Linked DNA regions of Caenorhabditis elegans. The protein of the gene in region 1 purifies or fractionates together with the protein of each later gene. This does not show direct contact. Each region holds a gene or a part of one and is shown on either strand. Other genes may lie near its edges.

Evidence for each region. Proteins that work in one complex are often made in the same cells at the same time.
Region 2: the proteins of mis-12 (region 1) and him-10 purify together in Caenorhabditis elegans (affinity purification with mass spectrometry, with the first as the bait; one study listed by BioGRID). This does not show direct contact.
Region 3: the proteins of mis-12 (region 1) and hcp-4 purify together in Caenorhabditis elegans (affinity purification with mass spectrometry; one study listed by BioGRID). This does not show direct contact.

Annotation. Positions count from the first base shown.
Region 1 is NC_003279.8:3,603,875-3,607,733, reverse strand, and holds mis-12 (uncharacterized protein), read left to right. Parts: upstream 1-2,030; 5' UTR 2,031-2,039; coding exon 2,040-2,121; intron 2,122-2,177; coding exon 2,178-2,245; intron 2,246-2,293; coding exon 2,294-2,374; intron 2,375-2,425; coding exon 2,426-2,482; intron 2,483-2,533; coding exon 2,534-2,623; intron 2,624-2,828; coding exon of another isoform or gene 2,829-2,861; exon of another isoform or gene 2,862-2,905; coding exon 2,906-3,055; 3' UTR 3,056-3,219; downstream 3,220-3,859. Other genes in the region: Y47G6A.25 (uncharacterized protein), read left to right, coding at 1-241, 291-576, 869-954, 1,002-1,268; Y47G6A.31 (RING-type domain-containing protein), read right to left, coding at 3,307-3,610.
Region 2 is NC_003281.10:5,801,522-5,805,811, reverse strand, and holds him-10 (Kinetochore protein Nuf2 homolog), read right to left. Parts: upstream 2,553-4,290; 5' UTR 2,548-2,552; coding exon 2,443-2,547; intron 2,392-2,442; coding exon 2,237-2,391; intron 2,191-2,236; coding exon 1,639-2,190; intron 1,583-1,638; coding exon 1,277-1,582; intron 1,220-1,276; coding exon 1,162-1,219; intron 1,115-1,161; coding exon 818-1,114; 3' UTR 700-817; downstream 1-699. Other genes in the region: R12B2.3 (Ras-associating domain-containing protein), read right to left, coding at 58-151, 198-202; polq-1 (DNA polymerase theta), read left to right, coding at 2,770-2,838, 2,889-3,012, 3,065-3,301, 3,352-3,996. UniProt on the Caenorhabditis elegans protein: Acts as a component of the essential kinetochore-associated NDC80 complex, which is required for chromosome segregation in mitosis and meiosis and spindle checkpoint activity.
Region 3 is NC_003279.8:3,862,134-3,867,838, reverse strand, and holds hcp-4 (HoloCentric chromosome binding Protein), read left to right. Parts: upstream 1-1,900; 5' UTR 1,901-1,901; coding exon 1,902-1,946; intron 1,947-2,051; coding exon 2,052-2,258; intron 2,259-2,307; coding exon 2,308-2,514; intron 2,515-2,563; coding exon 2,564-2,686; intron 2,687-2,738; coding exon 2,739-3,724; intron 3,725-3,776; coding exon 3,777-4,336; intron 4,337-4,381; coding exon 4,382-4,531; intron 4,532-4,581; coding exon 4,582-4,904; 3' UTR 4,905-5,006; downstream 5,007-5,705. Other genes in the region: pgk-1 (putative phosphoglycerate kinase), read right to left, coding at 1-88, 144-287; guk-1 (guanylate kinase), read left to right, coding at 5,287-5,341.

The sequences.
Region 1 (3,859 bases):
CCGCGAATTTCCACCAAATCTTACTGTTTACGTCATCGGTGAACTGAAAACTCTTTACGACGATTATGAAGCTGCAAAGGAAGTTGCTACAAATTTTGAACGATCTAGTGTAAACCTACGATTCTTATTGTGTCCCGCTGATTTGAAAGAACTGAACCGAGAAATTATTGCGGAGAAACGGCAAAAAATGAGCGAAAAGGAAATTATTTGTAGATTTGGAAGCGATAAATTCAAGATTAAGGTGTTTTTAGTGAAATTTTGAAATTCAAGTATTTATTTCAAATTTGCAGCTATTCAAGAAACAAAAAATAGGAAGCCATGTAACACTGATCGACTCTATTTCATTTCTCGGATTTTTGCCTGAAATCGAGCTCTGCCGTCAGGGATTCCTGGGAAGCAAACGATCAAATAAGCTGAAAATGGACATTACAACAGATTCTAAACTTGGAAATAAGATTCTTTTTTCCTTATCACAGTACTTGTTAAACGAAACGAAACGTCCTCAAACTGCTCTTTTCTCGTTCTCTTCAAAACCGAAACTTCGTGGATTCTGTATCATGGTGGCGTATGAGAGTGGTCCGTTCTGGGAGTACGGATTTCGTAATGGAACCTCTGAAAAATCTCTTTTTAAAAGATTTTTGGGATTAAAATTTCGAAAAAATTGGACAATTTCTCCAATTTTTGGTAAAATATTCGATTTTGAATTTTCGAATCAGCCAAAACTAGGAGTTTTAGCTGAAATTAGCCACTTTTTCGAAATTTTTAACCACTCAAAAAAAAATTTTGAGATTTTCTTTGGCAATCTCATTACAAAATTTGTTTTTTTTTTGGCAAATTTGTAAAATCCAACTGTAAAATCCAATTTCAGAAAACGATGAAACATCAATCACCCTGATTCAACTCAAAGCATCTCTGGGAAAATGTCTCTGGAAAACCCTGAAATTTGTAAATCAGGTCAGCTTTTTCTGGTTTTTGTTTGAGAATAAAATCAAATTTTTCAGTCAGGTGAACATTCTAGACCGCTTCCCGACGACTCATACGAGCAAATTGCACCGATAGAACGGAAGCAGCTGAAACGAAGATTGTCTCGAATCGAACGGATCGCTTCTTCAGTTGAAGAAAAAAGAGCACAATTTGAGGCTTTCGCCAGGGAATATGACGCTTTGGATGCTCGAGACGCCTTCATGAAGTTCACTTCCACGTGGCAAACGGATCAGGGACTTTTGACAGCGCCCACGCCCTTCGAAGATGATAATAATAATAAATGATTTATTTTTTGAGATTTTTAGAGGATCGAATTTTAGAATAAAGCACTTGGAATTTATAGGTATTTAGGTTTGTTTCGTTGTTTTATTTATTGGTTTACAGCCAAAATTACTTTTTTTTTAACTTTTTAATTCCTCCTATTGATTACCCAGGAACTGCGATTTTCCACCGAAAATACGGTACCAGGTCTCGACACGACAATTTTGTGCTGAATGCGATAGGAATTTCCCAGAGAATCGAAAAATATGCCTTTTTTGATTTTATAAATTTTTTCCGATTTTTAGAGTTAAAAAAAAAAAGGAAAAAGCGACAATTTTCGACTTTTGATTTTGAGAAAATTCCAATTTTTGGATAATTTTCCGTCATTTTTTATTTTTTAAAGACTTTCTTTATTTATTTTTCATAATTTTCATCCAGTTTTTAACTAACAAAACTATTGTCACACAGAAAACCATGAAAAATCGATAAAATATCCGCAGCGACAAAAGTTTGAAATTACAGTAATCCTTAAAAGCGCACACCCGTTTCATTCAACAAATAATTGTCGTTTCGAGACCAGAAACAGTATTTTTGGAGGAAAATTGCAAAATTTTTACGCCTGTTTAATAATAAATATAAATATGTATCCATGTTCCATGTCCGCAATGCGACGTGAGCGTGTATGCACACCTCACCTCCCGCGAACCAATAATCTTCAAAAACAGTTTTTCGCCCTCATTTCTTGATTTAATCCTGAACATTTATTCTTTAAAAATTCAATTCAGAAACTAAAAATGGAGAGCGAATTGTCGGGAATCTCTAATGAAAATCAAATCTCGTTTTTCGGATTTTCGGCCGGTTCGTTCAGCGATTCCAGTGAGTTTTATTGAATTTTCGAACGTTTTTTTGCGGAAAAATCAGAAATCTTTCAGTTTTCAATATTTACGTCGACGCATGGGAAGAAGTTTGCAGCAATGAGTTTAAGAACTCATTGAAAAAGGTTTTTTTTTCAAAAAAGAAATTTAATTTTAAAAAATTTAATTTTCAGCTCACCGACAAAGACCGTCTCTGCTTGCTATCCTTCCCATTCAGCGACAAAACTAACGAGAAAGCATTCAAAATGATGAAGGTTTGACATATTTCTCGATTAAATATCTGAATTTATGCCAATTTTTTTCAGAGATTCTGCGTCACAAATATCTTCAGAATTCCCGCCTCTGTGACTCTTCCAGAATGCGTAAGAATTGCCTTTTTTCGGAAATTATTTATTTAAAAAATCATTTTTCAGAAGAAAATGCTCATCGCGTCGGCCAAGGAGCACAAAAGTCTGAAACAGGTCGAGAAGGAGTTCGACGAGAAATTGGAGAAAATTCGACAGGTAAATAAAAATAAATGAGGAACCTATCAGAATTTTTTTTTTCTTCACTACTAAATGGACTTAAAAATGCGGAAAATATACTGAAAATAGCTTAAAACTGTCCAAAATAGACTACAATGACTGAAAAAGGCTGCAAGTTGAGTAAAAATGACCGCGACTAGACTGAAAATCGTCAAAAAATTCAAGAAAAATTGCTTAATTTTAGAAACCTGCTAAAATCGCCAGTTTTTGCATCTAACCTTTCCAATTTTCACATAAAAGCTTCAAATTCCAAATGTTCAGCTCCGCATCAAACTGGCAAAACGACATGACGAGCTAGAAGCAGTGAACAATGCTATTGAAGTGCTCCATGTGATGGAGAAGAGCCAAGAGCAGCTTATAAGCCAGAAGAGAATTGTCCCCGATAGCCCAACACGAATGTCTCCAGTTTAACCTTATTTGTTCGAAAATCGATATTTTAAATATTTGATTTCTCTTTATTTTCTTTTTTTTTAATCCTATGCTAATTTTTTTCTTGAGCTCAAATTTGAGTGCTTATGAAGCTACACATTTACCAACTTAAACAACTATATAAAAATAAATTTATTTTTGAGAAAAATCGTGAAAAGGTACATGAAAAATAGCATACAATCATTCCACCGAACATCTTTGTGACCCGTATTTCATCGTCTAGAAACACAAAATCAAATCATTTTGAAATAAATACACAGAACAAAAAGAATAATCACAGCAATTACAAGGATCGAGAGGAAGTACAGAACACGTTTTTTCGACGAAATACACGATTTTTTGTCATCCAAAGTTTTCCCGTCGTCTTTATCAATTTCCAGGCTGATCTCGGAGCCCATGCCGAGCTGCTTGATTTTGTGCTCGTGCTCATCCATATGATTGCACGCACAGCCGAAGCAGAACGTGTGCTCTCCGCTTTCTCGGCGATCTTCCCAATTTGCATAGTTTTGGAGCATGCATGTCGGGCAGTAGTAGACGCTGGAATTAAATTTTGAGAAAAAATTATTTTTTGTTTTTTTTTAAGCTGCGATGTTCCTTTTTTTTTCTTAAAATTTTGTGAGATTTCATGAAAAAATCTTTAATTCTTTTAATTTTTATTACTAGCTACGATTTTAAAGGCGCACACTCGTATTTACAAGCGAGGGTCTCGCAGCGAAATTGTTTAGATTAACAACTGCGATGTGCACCTTGAAGATTACTGTAGATTTTATTGAATTTTCTTTAGAT
Region 2 (4,290 bases), on another chromosome or scaffold:
GAGCGTTTCTTTTACATATATAAAACTAAAACATCATCATGTACTATGAATGCTCACCTGAGAGCACATCGAATGTACATCATCAGTGGAAGATCTTGTACCATTTGAATCATCTGGTCGAACTAATCTCTTACCCGAAAGGTCTAATGGTCTGAAAATTATAAAATCTGAAAAGAACATTATTTGAAAAAGCTTACTGCATAATTTGTAGAGTGAATTTTTCAGAAATACAATACAAAAATTGAGAAATGAACGAAAAATGTCAATGTTGAATGCAATAACTCGAGGCCCGCACGATTTATTTAAATTTATTTAGAATTTTGGTAGGATAATATTCAATTCAGAAGGACAATTCCAACTTGTAGAGCTAATGAGCGAAGAGAAGTTTAAAATTTCTGGAAAAGTTTTCATTTCAAGATAATTTTTTTTTCAAAAAACGTTTCAAAACTTCCGACTCTCACTTATTCCCTGTTTGAGCTTTCTCCAAAATAAGAAACCACGCCCACTTTTTGTCTTACTGTAGTCTTAAAGACGCAAACAAAAAAATACAAGGCAAAAAATTCAAAATTTCTAATTTTATTTTTAATTAAAAACAGAGGCACATAATCTCCCCGTAAATACCACTTGAGTGAATTCTTACCTGAAAAGTAAATTGGTGTGAAATTTCTAGAGCCTGGGAATGAAAAGAAAACATTTGAAAATAAAGACCACATGATTTATTTAGACTCAGTTAAAATTTTGTTATTGGTATGGAAGAAAGCATAACATTTACATTGAATAGAGATCAAATGAAGTGAAATTTTCGAGTTGAGTCATTCTATTTGAAAACGGAAAAACTCGAATCGTTAGGTTGTGGATCACAATTTTCCGTGTTCTCTCCGGCGTCGATTGTCGATGATCCGAATGTGTAATCACTCAGAAGGCGTCCGGTAAGAGAGCTTTTTAGACGTTCCATTTCACGTGCAGCTGCAGTGTTCTTCTCAAAAGCTACTTTCTGGGTTTCTTTGAACATTGCATTAAGTTTTGCGAATTTTGCAACAGCATCTTGGCAAGAGTTGGTGATTTGGGAAATCGTCTCACTGTGTGCGTTTTTTAGAGCGAGGAGTTCTTGCTTCTGAAAAAAATGTTGGTGAGTTTTATGAAGATTGATCTGACAAAAACCTTTTTAGCAATTTCCTGTGACACATCTGGCTGACTAGTTTTCAAATTTGCGATTTGCCTGAAAGATTTACATCGTTTAAAAAAATGTTTTCAAAGTATCAAATAAATTCCTCACTCGGTAATCTCCTCAATTCTACGCTGACGCTCTTCACTTTTCTGCGTGTGTTCTATACGCAATTGTTCATGAGTCTCCGACTGCTCGACGAGTCGCTTTTGTGCCGTTTCCATCTCCTTCATCATAAAATCCAATTGCTCCTCCATTTCCTTGAGCTTTCGAAGATTCTCACTTTCAACATCGATCAGGTCAATGATAACTTCTCGAACTTCAGTCCACTGATGGATCTTCTCAATAATCACTGGCACGTTCTTCTCCGAGTTGATGCAAATTTCACGAGCCTCGAGTTTTGCTTGAAGGCCTTTTCTGAAAATAATTACTTTTATTTTGAATTTTTGGAGAGACTGAAGATATATCAGTACTTTGATGATTCAAGACAATCGCGGAGCTCTTCAATGTGACGTTTCCTTTCCTCCATTTCTTGTTTCAGCTGTTCCGGCGATGTCAGAACTTCTTCATTCAAATGCTCAATTGTCTTTTTACCAGTTAGCATTTCCTTTTCGAGGGCTTGAATGTGCAGAATAGCTTCTTCTTTCTGCTTGTCGAGTTCTTCATTAATTTGACGAGTTTCGGTATATTCGTTCACAACATTTTTAAGTTCTGCCTTCGCATTGCTCTGTTCGTTGATTAATTCATGCTCATGACGTTTTCTTATGCTTTGTTTCGCGAGAAGATCATTTTTCTTCTTCTCGGCTTCTAACAACTCTTCCCGAATCTTTTCCATTTCGAACTTTCGATCACTGAACTCTTCGCTAATTTCATTGAACGCTGGAGTGGCCAATTCGTGAAGTTTCAGAAAATCTACAAGAAAACTTGTCAGCTTTCTGAATCGATGTTCGTGTTTTGCAGGTGTCACGAGATCGCACATCGTCAAGTCCAGCTTGTTGCCAGAATTATCTTTGATAAATGCTTTCCTGAAAAAATATTTCAGCAAATCTAACATTAAAATTAAAATCTTACATGCATTGGAAGAGAATAATGATAGGAATGCTCTTTTTATGCAATTCTGGATCATAATCACAGTTGGCGGACAGCGGAAGGGTCGTCAGCGAGCTTTCCGACACATTTAACACAAGCCTCACAAAATTAGCAAATATTTGTTGCGCTATTTCTGCCTGAAATCGGGTTATTTGTGCTGATGAATTCAATATTCTGTTCAAACTTACGGTTGGCTTGATAATGTCATCGGCGACAAGGCCCATATGCAATTTTTGACCAAGATACTTTGAAATCATCCGCGGATCATACACAATTAGTACAACGTTTGACATTTCTCCTGAAAAATGGAATTTCAGTTCTAAAAACACAAAAATAAAGTTAGAAATTGTTAAAAACAAAAAAGTTTATTTGAATTCGCCGAAGAGCGCGCCAAAACATGTGACATTTCTCGGCCGTGAAAACTAGGCCACCGCGGCCACAAACAAATTTTAGTTTTCTTCGCTGAAAAAAACATGTTTTTCAGTCTGAAATCAGAGTTTTTAGTATGAAACAAGATGGACGAGGCTTCCTGTAGATTTCCAGAATGGGTTTCTTCAAAAATCATCGATTATTACGCAGAGCAGGTAACATAAATCGCTGTGATGAAATAGGGACAAAATTTTTTTAATTTCAGAACATCAAAGCGCTGTTCGATTGGCAGATTGATGTGTTGAATGAGGCAAGACAATTTGAAGATCAACACTTGATATTCAGTGCGCCAACAAGTGCTGGGAAAAGCATTGTAGCTGAACTTTTATGTATTATTTTATCTGGTTTAAAGAATAAATGTTTAAAAACTGTAATTTTCAGCATGGAAAGTCGCTTCAACTGGTAGAAAGGTACTCTTCGTACTTCCTTATATCTCCGTGGCTCGAGAGAAACTTCATCAAATTCAACGGTGTTGGAGACGAGATGACATTTCTGTCTGTGGCTTCATTGGTCCACAGGCCTCAAATCCAAATGAGTGGCTTGGGGCAGTTTGTACCATCGAAAAAGCAGCAAGTTTGACAAATCGAGCATTATCAGAAGATTGGTTTGAGGAAATTGGTTAGATAAATCGATTTTAATTTAAAATTTTCACAAAAAGTAGCTTTCAGGAATGATAGTCGTTGATGAAATGCACATGGTTTTCGATTCGTCTCGTGGTGCACACATTGAGCACATGCTCTCGAAAGTTTTGCTCTGGAACCAATCTGCACTGGAAAAAGTTAGAATTATCGGAATGAGTGCAACTATTCCAGAACTTTATCGAATAGGCAAATGGCTGGACGGTGCGAAAGTTTTCGAAGCAAGATTTCGACCAATTGTTCTACAAAATCATATTGTAATTGGTTCGGAGTTGAGGAAATCTGGAGATAACAAAGTTCTAAGAGAATTCTCTGAAGATCCATTAATATTGCTTACCGAAGAGAGTTTTCGCCGCAATTCTCAGACTTTGGTAATGATTTCTTCGAAACTTGATGCCGAGAAGACTGCTTTGAATATTGCGTCGAGATTCCATGAGATCAATAAAACCGACAGCTCATTGTTGGAAATATTAAAAGAACGAGCCAATGGACTATTATTTATAAAGCATGGATTGGAACGGAATGGTTGCAAGGATCGGAATGTTATGTCAACACTTGCATGGGGAGTAGCATATCATCATGCTGGATTGACGATGGAGGAAAGAGAATGCATTGAACTAGGATTTCGGGAGAAAAATATTGTTATTCTTGTGGCTACAAGTACTTTGGCTTCAGGTGAGTGTTTTAAAATTTTAATTGTGGTCAACCGAAATATCGGAAGAAATTAAAAGCAAAATGTTTGTTGAAATATTTTTGGGGAAAAAATTAAATCAAACAATAATTTTCATTTAGGGTGAAGATTTGTTGATAAAAATTTACTTTAAACTTTCAAAAAATACTATTCACTCAAGAATTTCCAGTTGTTTGCTAATCCCGCTCTTCCCTTTTTTTTAAATCGAAAAGCGAAAATTTTTCGGTTTTTTTTTCGAGATTCCAAAATGTCGATTTTTCGAATAATAGCATACAATT
Region 3 (5,705 bases), 260 kb from region 1:
TCAAGGTGTACTTGTCTTGGCGTCTGCCATCTGGACGTCCCAAATGTGACATTAAAACGACAGATTTGGCTCCGTTGCTAAGAGCATGCTGAAATTTTGAATATTATTGAAAATGTTGTTTGAAATAAATTTGAATTGATTACCTGAATGGTTGGAACAGCGGCAGCAATACGTTGATTGTTGGTGATTTTGCCATCCTTGAGTGGGACATTGAAGTCAACACGGATCAAAACTCGCTTTCCGGCGAGGTTCAACTGGTCGATAGCCAACTTGTTGAGGGAGCTCATTTTTCTGAATGCTGAAATTGTTTGATATTGATTTTCAAAAATTTCAAAGATGGTCAAAACAGGAGAGAATGTTAAAATTGAGAAACAAACAAGACAACTATTTTGACGAGCGACGTGAGAAATGATAGAAGTTGTTGCTCGCCTTTCTCTTTTACACTGGAAACGCAGAGAGACGAGAGATCGAGCGAGAGACCGCGCATTTGGATGGGTTGAAACGAATCAAATAAAAAACACATGAAGAATAACCGAAAACACAAATATAAATGTTTGAAGATCATTTGAAATTAAGAAGGCATGAACAGTAGTGATAAAACAAACCATTTCTAGAAATTTGATCAAATATGCTGTCAAAACAACGTCACTCATATAGATAAAAGTAAAAAATCAAGAATCACAAATGTTTTAGGGAAAATCTGAATTAGAAAATTGGAAGAAATGAAAATAATACATTTTGTAAACATTTTTTCTCAATTTTGGATGAAATCGATGAAGGGAAACCTTCAAAATTGTAAGACAAAAAGGCAAAAACAAAAAATAAATGGAGACCCGAAGAACTCGGGGGATGTCCAATTGGGGGGATTACCAGGGGATTGGTCCCGCCCACAGAACCGTGGCTTGCAATACGCCCATTTCTGCAACTGCCGCACGGTTTTAAAATTATTTTTTCTTGTTAATTCTCGCTCTATTGAGAAAAATACAGTTTTAAAACCGTGCGGCATTTGCAGAAATGGGCGTATTGCAAACCACGGTTCTGTGGGTGAGGCCAATCCCCCGAGTTGGTAATCCCCCCAATTGGACATCCCCCGAGTTCTTCGGGTCTCAATAAATGTTCGAAAGTATAGAAAGCATGCAAAATTGCGTTAAGTTAAATGCTGTCTGTGCAAACATCTCCGCAAAAGTTCAAAATTTTTTGCGCGGGGGCGCGGGTCTCACCACGAATACCGTACACTTGATACCGACAGGCGGGAAAAATCATTTTTAGAGTCTGATTTTTAGGCTTTGATTTTATTCTATTTTTCTCTTTTCGTTTTAAAATTTTATTTTCTTGCGGATCATTAGAAAAAAAAATGAAAACGCGCTTGAAATAACTTTCGAAGAACTTGGTTGAAATCAATATGTACTTTAAAGAGCTACCGCTCAACTAATATTGCACGAATTTTATTTAGAAAACTACTAATAAATTCTGCGTTTAGTATTTTCTACTGTTAGGGACGTGGAGGCCTTGTTGAAATTCGTGAAAACAAGCATAAATAGATCTCGATGAAGTATTATTCATTTTTCTTTATTTCACCAAAGCGTATCGATTGGCCTCTCTTCAAAACTGCGTTTGACTTGGTTCGGCTATTATTTTATACAAAGTCTGTGTCTTTCTCCCTTAAAATCAATCAATATTTGGCTCATAATACCTTCTTGCCTTTTGAATGCGAAAAGAAAACAATAAATACGTTTCCTCTATCCTCTTCTCGTAGCCTTCCCCCTCTAACCAAACGCGCTCCGTTGTACAATGCAAAACCGCCACTTTCAAATTTAGCTCCCATTTGACATCGAGAAGTTTGCTTATATTTATTCACCTCTTAAAATTGTCTTTTTTTCAAAACGATATCAAATTGCAGAATGAATCGAAAACCGCGAACCCGCAGTACGATTGTTCCTGGTCGAGTAAGTGATTCAGATTTTTAAAATTCTTAACAAATGTTTGATTTTTACAAAAAAAAAGTTCCACATTATGGTAATTTGATTGCTTACTTATTTTGTTTATTTCAGAAAATGATCACTGAAATCGTTGCTCTTCGTGAGGCTGGCTTGGACGATACAAGACCGTCGTACTTGGAGGAACCAACAGTTATCGTCGATGAATCGATGATGAATGATAGTGCAAATTTGGAGGAGCGAGAATGGAGAAAACAGGGACTATCTGAGAAGCAGATGTTCGCTATTTTGGAGAAAAGGAAACAAACACAGCTTAACAATGTAAATTTCAGTCACAAAATCTTTTCAACACCTAATAAACTATATTCAGGCCAGAAAACGTCTCGAAAAGGAAATGTACGGAGCGAAAACCTTCAAAGAGTTGATTGCTTGTCGTGAATACTCCGAATGTGAGAGCGACAGCGAGAACACTGTGAATCAAAATGTCCGAAGCGCTTCGGTTTTTGCCATTCCGGCGCTTCCGAAACACATCAGTGAAAAGTCGATGATGGGCTCGCCAATTGCTAATTCCAGAGGGGTATGAGATGAATTTGCGTGTTCATAGTTTAATAAATCTATAATTTCAGAGTGGAAAAGCTGGATTAAGTTGTTCAACTCCCAAGAGCTCGAGTGATACGTCGATGAGGTCCTTGAGATCGCTTGATATTTCACATGTCGTCAATACCGATCGACTAGATGCTGAAAGAGTGGTAAAATTTGTTTGTTTTAAAGATATTTAAACTAACTTTTATATCGTTTCAGACTGTTCACACCAAGTCTGTCGTTATCCCAACCATTCTCGAGGAGAGAGAGTCAACACTCCAGAAAACTCTCACGATTGAGAAGAATCACAGCTCTCAGCTGCAAAAAACCTTCACTGTGGCTGAAGATGCTCCTGAAGAACTTCAGAAAACGGTGACAATCGAGAAGAATCAGAGCTCGGAAATGCAAAGAACGTTTACGGTGGCTAAAGATGCATCAAAAGAGCAATCACAGCTTCAAAGAACGGTAACGATCGAGAAGAATCAAAGCTCTCAGCTGCAAGGAAACTTCACGGTGGCTAAAGATGCTCCTGAAGAACTTCAGAAAACGGTGACGATCGAGAAGAATCAGAGCTCGGAAATGCAGGGAACGGTCACAGTGGCTAAAGATGCAGAACACTCCTCTCTACAGAAAACGTTCACAAAGCCGACCGAGAAAGATGAGTCATCACTTCAAAGAACTTTCAACGTAGCTAACAGAGATGAAAATAACGATTCAACTCTTCAAAAGACGTTTATTATTGAAGAAAGAGATGCATACGAGCAAGGAACCACGAGTGTTGGTGTGAAGCCTCCAGTACTGGCACAAAACACGATGGAAGGAGGAGAAAAACGGAGAACGTCGAAAGTCACTTCGGATGAGCGAGAACGACGTAATGCCAGTATTTCTAATCCTCTTCACAACAGTATGCTCGAAAAGGAAGAAATTCAATCGCCGGGAGCCAACTTCTTCAAACATCCCCGAAAAAAGATCAGACCGGTGGTTCAAACGCCGCCACGAATCAAGGCAACCAGCAGACTTAGTACTGAATCGAATAAGGAGCGAACGATTGAGATGGAATCGGTAGCTGAAGAACGAACAATGGAAGCGGATTCTATTGGCTCGTCTTATATCTCTCCAACATTCAATGCATCTCGAGTTTCGCCGGTTCCAGAAGTTCCAGAAAAAGTGGAGCCAATGCATGTATCGAAAGCCGCAACTCCAAAGTATGTTTTTTTTCGAATTGCGGAATATTATTCTTATTTCTCCATTTTCCAGATCGATTCGGCACACGGATAATTCTATCCGTAATATTGGACCCACCAACAATGTCGAATGTGCTCGGGCTGCACTGCTCTCAACACCGACTAGGATGGATATCGTTGATTCTGTGAATCGAGTGACCCCGGCACGACGATATGAACAGCCTACTTTCGCTTCACTCGTCAAAAGGATGAATATGAAAGATGCTAATCGTTTGCTTGAGGAAACTTCACGAAAGAATACGCCTGCGAAGACTACTGCTACAACTTCTTCAGCCGCTGTTCGCATGGTTTTGGAGGATGATGAGGAGGATCAGGCGACGGAGGTCATTGAAAAAAGATCTGAAAATGGTGGTGTGATTGTCGATGGTGAGGATGAGGCAGCAGATTCAAGCAATCGCTCCCTGAACATCGAATTGAATGCGCTGACTGTCAACGAAGAGCCTGCACATGATATCAGTGCCATTGATTTTCCAGAGGACGATACAAATGAAATGAGATCTTCTTCTGACGAAGAAGAAATGGAAGCACGTCCAGATCCAAGGAAAAAGTCGTCTAGAAGACTCGGGCTTCTTAGTGAGTGTTACTTCACAAATAACAACGTTTTTAAAACAATTTCAGGTGATTCGATTGCTCTTGGTCTTGCTAGTTCGTCGAGAAGACGCCCAAACGACACATTCGTTGACGAAACATGGTATCCTGAACCGAATTCTAAAGGAAACAGACGTCCGAGAACACACAGGGGTATGAAACTGAAAGAGCATCAACTCAGTGAGTTTTAATTAATTAATGCAATCATTCGAAACTTTAAACATTTTCAGTGAAGCCAGAAGATGCTCCAGACGGTGTCCGAAGATCGACGCGTGTCCGCGTGAAGCCTGTTCGTTCGTGGCTTGGAGAACAACCGGTTTATGTCAATTCGCCGATTAGTGGCTGCAAGCGATTGACTGGTGTGACGGCCGTTGTCATCAAGGATCCGCGTTTGTGCTATTACAGAACTGCTGACGTCAGAACAGCAACCGAGCGAGAGCTGAAAGATAAGGCCAACAAAAGGGCTTTGGCGCAGGAAAAGAAGCAACAAAGACAGAATGCAAGAAGTGGGCGACGTCACGATAGTGACGACGATGAAGAAGATGATATGTGAAGAAATAACTATTGCTCCACTATTTAGCAATGTCAAAAAACCCATCTAATCCCAATACCTGTAAATAATGCAATTTTAAAGGGAATAAAGTTTGAATCTGTCAATCCTTTTTTATGTTTAGTTTATATCTGGTGAATTGTTCCAATAAATTTTATTTATTTTTCTTTAATTTGCGCGACATCCTCCATATGCCTAGCAAAAATTCAGATTAGCGATTTTCAATTTGCTCTAATGGGTTGTATATCCGGCTGAGCCACACACACACATACACATATTTATCACTAAGTCGTCGTCATAAGCGTGATATATACCGGATATATAAGATTTGGATATTTACGAAGAGGCGAGGGGTATAAATAAGCGACGGCCCGTTGAGGTATTCATGCACGCCACCTCCCGTGTCGCCTGGTTTTGGCGGCCGTCCTGTCAATCGTTTAGTAAGTCTTTTTTGCGCGCTTTTCCAGAAAAAAATCAGCTTTTCGTTTTGAAATGTTGTCACTTTACAAGATTTTTCCATGTATTCTAAGATTCTTCTTAAAGGCGCACGGATTTATTCAGATGGGTCTCGGCGCGCAAAAAAGTTTATGGTAGTCTTCTGAGAATTCTTCCTCGTTTTCCTCGGATTTTTAAATGAAATTACTTGGTTTTTAGCGAATTTTATAGTTTTATTTTCGATTTTTTAATTGAAAATCGTTTTAAATCAATTTTCAATTCACAAAAAAGACTACCATCACTTTTTTTAGGTTTTCGTTCAGAAATATCTTTTTTTACCCGCATCTGTTTTCGCTATACATATATGTC